Linked DNA regions of Mus musculus. The protein of the gene in region 1 interacts with the protein of each later gene in a pairwise test. Links are inferred from orthologs where the notes say so. Each region holds a gene or a part of one and is shown in the gene's direction. Other genes may lie near its edges.

Region 1 (3,650 bases):
GCCGGGTGACCTAGCTGTGGTATTAAGACTGCGCTTATCCTCCATCTTCAGAAAGCAGTCTTAGCAGGACCAAAATAAATAACCTGCTAAGTATCTCAAGAGTAAGGATAATAGAGATAACATTCCTGTAGAAAGAGGTAACAAGATTTTGATATATATTAAAGTACCTGGTAAAATTAATGTATTTTTCACTAGTTTTGTCTAAAATGCCTCATTCAGGAAAAAAAGATTGATTTTTTTTTTTTCAAGCAAAAAACCCATCAAAATCCTCTACTTTAAGCTTTTCCTTCCTTTTTCCTTTTGGTTAAACATATATTTTAACCTTTTTTGCTTTTTAAAGATTTATTATTTGTATCTGTATGACTGTTTTGCCTGAATGTGTGTACATGCACTTGTGTGCGTGCCTGACGCCTGCAGAAGTTGGAAGGAGCAGATCCCCTGGAACTGGAGCTAAGAGAGGTGGTAATCTGTGGGTTGGATGCTGGCAGTGGGTCGTCATGTCCTCTATAAGAACAAGGGCTCTTCACCACTGCCATCTCTCCAGCCTCTGTTAGACACAGTGCTTAAACTTTTATCATGTTTTCCAAGTTTTCGTGAGGGATTATCATATTTCCTTTTGGGTTTTCCTTTTGAATATTAAGCATATCGTTCGTAAAAGTAGTCTAGACTCATGGAATGTCAGAGTTTTGGGAAGTATTAATGGAGCTAAGCACATTGAAAATAGCTTGTGCTGATTTTATTATTAAAACAAGGTAGTTTTGTTGGGATTTAATATTCTCTTTTCCATTAAGTAAGCTGATGACAACAGTATAGTAAAAAAAAAAAAAAAAAAAAAAAAATTCACTTTTGGTCTTTGTCCCTGAATCCTGGCTTCTTAAAAAGTCTTCTAAAACCATTGTTGTCCAGAGTAATAGGATGACGAGAGGCCCACATTATTAGCTAGCCAGGAGATATGTGGGCAGAGCATCAGGCAACTTTAGTTATCAAAGCCTTTGACAAAACTCTAAGGCTGTGGAGCTTTTGGGCTGGCAAACACATCCCCATGCCAGGCGGGTGCTGAGCCCACAGGTGAAGCCCGGCGCCCTCACCTGGCTTTAGTTGGTGTTGGAGAACCATAGAATTGGTGTTAAGTGTGCAGGTTATCTCATCTGCTCTGTGACCTGATCTGACTCCTCTTTTACAGTACCTGACCAAGCAGGTGGAGCTTCTACGGCAAATGAATGAGCAGCATGCGAAAGTTTATGAGCAGTTAGATGTCACAGCAAGAGAACTGGAAGAAACCAACCAGAAGCTAGTTGCTGAGAGCAAGGCCTCACAGCAGAAAATCCTCAGGTAGACTTTCTAACTGTTACAGGGGACAATCTACAAAGGGGTTAGGATAATTTGAAGTAGAATGTGCCTGTAGAAGGTTGGGCAGTCTAGGATAAGGGTTTTTTTGGGGGGAGGTGGGGGGAGAAGGAGGATTAACTGTAAGTCCTTTCCAATTAAGAAAGCCAAGTTTGAGTGGCTCACACCTAATCCCTTTCATTGGTTTTGATCTTAATTTATTTTGACAAGCAGCGACCGGCTTCTGCTTTATTCATAGCCTGACAGAAACAATTGAATGCCTGCAAACCAACATTGATCACCTGCAGAGCCAAGTGGAGGAGCTGAAGTCTTCCAGCCAAGGAAGAGGGAGGCAGAAGGCATGTGACCAGGAGAAACCAGCACCCAGCTTCTCCTGTCTGAAAGAGCTGTATGACCTCCGCCAGTAAGCGCCTTCCTTGCTGTGGATTTGCACACTGGGAGCATCCCATGTCACTGACATATTGTGGGTTACATAGATGGAACGTGTCAGACACCAGTGGGTAGCAGAGCCCCTGAACCTAAACGTAGCAGTGAGAGTTCATGGGTGTCAGTAACTTTGTGAAAAGTTTTTCTTTCTTTTCTTTTCATTTTAATTTGTTAAATATTAGTTTAAAATTAGTAATACTTCCACCGTAGTACAGATTTGGGAGTTGTATTTCACTTTAGAATGAAGGAAAAGGTGGAAACTTTGGAAGCTGGGTTTGGTAGCTCATGCCTCTAATTCCAGCACTCAGGAAGCAGAGGCAGACTCTGCACGATCAAGTCCAGAACATGGCAAGGTCAGGACAGCTAGGACTACACGGAGACCTTGTCCCAAATGAGAAGAAGAAAAGTATTTTTTCCTAAAGAAATGACTCTATAGTTTATAGTTTTGGTTTTAAGTCTTTAATAATGCTTACTTAACACATATTACATCCAGGAATGATGGCTAAAATGGACATGTTCTATGTCCTCAAAACCCTTCATTCTAATGGAGAGTTAGATGCTCCATAACCAAGACACACAGATAGGTACAAGCTGCCTCGGACTGAATAGAAGAGAGGCCAGTTCATGTCTCTCACATTTCCTATGGCGATTTTGGGGTTTTGAGATAAGGTCTCATTCGGCCCAGCTGGCCTTCACCTCCCACGTGCTGCTGAGATGACATGTGTGCATCTGGCACTGTGCATGTTTTCTTAGAGCAGATACTAACTCTCCTCAGGTCAGAATTTCTAGATGTGACCATTAAGCTGCCCCAGTGGTTCTGATGGGTAGCCCAGGTTAAAGGTCCAAACACTGTGTTCCTTAACCTTGGTTTCACGTTATGGAAAACATTTAAAATTCCATAGGTCCAGGCAGCAGACCAACAATTTTCAAAACCGATGGTGTGAACTCCAGGTTCTAAGACCACCACCCAGCTGATAGTGATCTCCAACTATTGATAAGAATTTCTGTCCATTATATTTCCTAGTAAGCAGCTATCTTTCTGCTGGCCTTGGCATGCGTTTTCTGTACTACTTTTACTGTTGGGGGAAAAGTCAACCACAAAACCTGTATTTGCTTTCAAGAATTCACCAGCCTCATACAGTTTCATGTAGCCACTGCTTGTAGTATGGAATGGGCTAAAAATTGATGTCACAGCTTTTAAACGACTTAGTTGAAAAGCAGCCTCCTCTGCAGTCTCAGCTGACCTTTATATATCCCATGTTTCCTCACAGACACTTTGTGTATGACCACGTGTTCGCTGAGAAGATCACTTCCTTGCAGAGCCAACAGAGCCCTGATGAAGAAGAAAATGAGCACCTGAAAAAGGCAGTGACGATGTTGCAGGCCCAGCTAAGTCTAGAGAGGAAGAAGCGAGTGAGCGTGGAGGCAGAGTATAAAGTGGTGCTGAAGGAGAACAGTGAGCTGGAGCAGCAGCTGGGGGCCACAGATGCCTACCGAGCCCGGGCCCTGGAGTTGGAGGCAGAGGTGGCTGAGATGCGGCAGATGCTGCAGGCAGAGCATCCTTTTGTGAATGGTGTGGAGAAGCTGGTGCCCGACTCTCTGTTTGTTCCTTTCAAGGAGCCTAGCCAGAGTCTGCTGGAGGAAATGTTCCTGGCTGCTCCAGAAGCACCTAGAAAACCACTCAAACGAAGCAGCAGTGAGACGGCGCTCAGCAGTTTGGCAGGGGATGACATCGTGAAGGACCATGAGGACACTTGCATCAGGAGGGCTAAGGCTGTGAAGCAGAGGGGCATCTCCCTTCTGCATGAAGTGGACACTCAGTACAGTGCCCTGAAAGTGAAGTATGAAGAGCTACTGAAGAAGTGCCAGCAGGAGCA
Region 2 (3,650 bases), on another chromosome or scaffold:
AGGAGCTGAAGCTGAAGGAGGGCGCTGAGAACCTGAGGCGAGCCACCACTGACCTGGGCCGTAGCCTGGCCCCTGTGGAGCTGCTGCTGCGGGGCTCCGCTCGACGCCTAGACTTACTGCACCAGCAGCTGCAGGAGCTGCATGCACATGTGGTGCTGCCTGACCCTGCAGCTGGAAGCGGTGAGCAGAAAGCCTGGGAGCTGTGTTCTGTCAGGATACTGTCCTGGGTTCACAGAAGCCACAGGAGAGGCCAGGCTTACAGGGCCACTAGCACCTGGATGAATACAGTCACACCTGTTTCCCAGACCCCACTCAAAGCTGTCTTTGGCATTAGGAGTACCTAGATATAGACTCACCAGCATCCAGGTAACACCAGAGACCCACACTGTCACCAGATACCTAAGGACACCATTACAACTATTTTCAGACAACGACTGAGAAACATGCTATCACATGAGAATCCAGAAGCCCACAGTCACACTAACAGACACCCAAATACTGCACATCTGTCACCCTCATGGCTCCCTAAATCATTCCAATATGTAAAGAAGGAAGGAAAGAAGGAAGGAAGGAAAGTGGAGAACAAGTGAGTAACTTACCTGATGTCCCTCTGGCTTCTGTGTATACACATGTGCATGCACACATGTGTACTTGTACATAAAGAAAACCCACAACACAATTTATCATTGCCAGAGTTCAGTCACTTTATGTGTGTACATGCAGTAACAAAGCAATGGTTCCTTCATCTTGTACCTAAGATGGTCATGGTCACAGGGACACCAGAAGACACCCAGAGTTTATACTGTCACACACATGTTCAGAGAAGTACAGTCAATTATGCCACCTGGGCAACACAGCAAACCCGATTACGTGATTCCAGAGACAGGAGCACAATCTCGTCCAAACAGCGTCCAAGGTTTGCGTCCTGTCACTTATACCTAGAGAGACACACTAACTAACCCACAATGACACTAGAGCTCTCCCACTAGGTCACACCAACCTTGAGAGGTATCCCACCACTGTCCCATCCACAGCAGACTCTACCTACAGCCTACAGGCTCAGCCCCTCTACATATGGCTGTGTCAGCTTTTGGGGTCCAATACTGCTGGAGTTCAGCCAAGAGTCTCATAAGCCCTTTCTGCAGTTCCCCACCACTGCATCTCTCTTGTGTTACAGACCTCACCTCTGACAACGACAACAGCCAAGTCTCAAAACAATCCTAGAAACCCCTAGAGATCAGAACTGAGCTGTACCAACAAGAAGCAGTGTCATTGTAAGCTCACACATATACACTGTTACACCCACATCTAGGGTTCTACCACCAGTGGCCTACAGACATAATCACACACACACCAGTGGGCTTATACACCCTAAGGCAGATGGGGGCATTTTTTCCAGCTAACCCTGAAGACCTGCATACCTGGTCACTAACTCACTCTCCCTCATGCTGAAGCCCAGTCTGTCACTGAGAGCCAGATGTCTCCTGCCCGTGTACTGGCCCCTAGGCTCCTTTTCTGGATGAAGGTTTCCTATTGGCTGGGACAAAATCTCCCAGGTCTCCTGGGTACACTGAAGTGACCACTGTGTGATTCTCTTCTTTTCTTGTTTCCTCAGATGCTACCCAATCCCTTGCAGAGGGCAGCCCTATCTGCTCATCCACCAACCTGAGCAGAGTGGCTGGGCTGGAGAAGCAGCTGGCCATTGAGCTCAAGGTCAAACAGGGGGCAGAGAACATGATCCAGACCTATAGCAATGGCAGCAGCAAGGTGAGACCACAGTGCTCCAGAACCTTTCGTCACTGTGACGGACCGGAGGCTGTGTCTCTCCCGTGTGCTCCCTGCCTCTGACTTATCTACTCTGGGCATCATATTATTGCAGTACATGGCCATTTGTCTGTGGCTCTGCAGACACTTGCACAGAGATGTTCAGAGAGGTGAGGAGGATGTAGTTCCAGCTGGTACAAACTGGGCTATGAGTCCTCAGTCCAGTGGAGGTCCAGACTTTGTAGTTGAGAGCACTGAGGCTCAGAGAAGTGAAAGAGCAAGGCTGAGGTCAAAAGCTGAACTGGAGTGGCAACTTTGGAATTTTTGTTTCTTTACAAACTCAGAAAAAAGAATGTATTTTCATTTTAATCCAAGGTGTGGGATATGGGACTGCTTCTGACTGTCCACAGCAGCTGACTATGATTTGCCTCGTGCTCTAGCAGGGGCATGGTTTTGCCAGCTCCATATTGTTTCTGCAGTTGTGTAACACTTGAAATTCTGGGAACTTCTCAGAGGATATATAAATGCTACAGTCCTGATAGGTGGGTGTAGCTGGTGGTCATTCAGGGGGGATGGTTGCAGTTTGTTAGTAGTTGTACTCAAAGAAGAAAGGAGAAGAAAGAAATAAGACTCCAGGATTCCCCCTCCCTCCCTCTCCCCTCTATCCTTTCTCTCCTATCTAGTGATAGGGGTGAAACCAGGGGGATAATGGTTGGGGAAAAGAAGAACCCATAAAATAGCACAAGACAGGCAATAAGTGGTGCCCAAACATGGAAAGTGAAGGATAAAAATGGGAAATTAGAGAAAACAAACAGGGAATGGAGGAATGGATTTTGTTTTTTCAAGACACCAGCAAAAAATGTATTGTAGCTGTTGCCACTGGGATGTTTCCTGCTTTGCTCCCAAAGGGTTTTTTTTTTTTTTCTTCTTTTTCTTTTTTGTATATTTTGCTTTGAAAAAGGTTGAAGGACTGGCTGGGCAGCTGGAAAAGTTGCTAGTGGAAATGGAAGGGCCTGAGAAACAAACAAACATGACTGAAATGGAGAAAAGAAGGGGGCCACTCTGCTCTCTCTTCTGAAGGGTTGGAGTTGACCGTGCATGGGAGAGGTTGCGGATAGAGGTGGTGAGCACCAGGAAAGAGAGAAGAAAAGGCTCAGTCCTGAGAGCAGGAGTTTCCCTCAGGAGGAAAGACGGAAAGAAACTGTGCCCGAAGGCAGTCAGGTCAGAAACCGGCTGAGGAAGTGAGAGGACAAGCTGATGAACTGGTTAGAGAGAGAGAAGGGGTTAACCTCGAACCAGCTACAGCTCCAGAGATGGAGGAGGGGCAGCTTGGCCTTAGGAGATCACCACTAGTTAGTTGTACAGCATGGGCCTGCTGACGGTGTGGAAAAGGGTCATGGGGACATAGGATGGCATCCTCGAGGCATGATAGAGCTACAGTCTTTTAAAGGACTGTGACTTCTTAGGAATGCACTAGCTTTATATGAAACAAATTCTAAATAACTGTGCTACTCAAAATAGAATTATTCTCCAAGACTAGAAGGGATTGGTGACAGCTTAGACACCAGTCTGCAGTTGCCATGGTTAACATGGTGGGGGGAAGAAGCTGCAAATATTGGATCACGAAGTAGAACGAGGGGATGAATACAGTAAAAGACGAGGTGTTGGGTGAAGGGCGGTACTCTGATATACAAGAACAGATTCAATTTGATGATGTTACTATAGAACGTTGTCACTTAGTGGCTTTAAGAGCTTGGGACAGGGCTGGTGAGATGGCTCAGTGGGTAAGAGCACCCGACTGCTCTTACGAAGGTCAGAAGTTCAAATCCCAGCAACCACATGGTGGCTCACAACCATCCGTAATGAGATCTGACTCCTTCTTCTAG

The links. The genes of interacting proteins can lie anywhere in the genome.
Region 2: the proteins of Cdr2 (region 1) and Pkn1 interact in binary tests that used the Homo sapiens proteins (3 or more experiments, as listed by UniProt). The link is inferred for Mus musculus from reciprocal best matches to the Homo sapiens genes CDR2 and PKN1.

The regions. Positions count from the first base shown.
Region 1 is NC_000073.6:120,958,192-120,961,841, reverse strand, and holds part of Cdr2 (cerebellar degeneration-related protein 2), read left to right. Parts: intron 1-1,183; coding exon 1,184-1,332; intron 1,333-1,560; exon of another isoform or gene 1,561-1,585; coding exon 1,586-1,750; intron 1,751-3,044; coding exon 3,045-3,650.
Region 2 is NC_000074.6:83,689,166-83,692,815, reverse strand, and holds part of Pkn1 (serine/threonine-protein kinase N1), read left to right. Parts: coding exon 1-180; intron 181-1,615; coding exon 1,616-1,767; intron 1,768-3,650. UniProt on the Homo sapiens protein: PKC-related serine/threonine-protein kinase involved in various processes such as regulation of the intermediate filaments of the actin cytoskeleton, cell migration, tumor cell invasion and transcription regulation.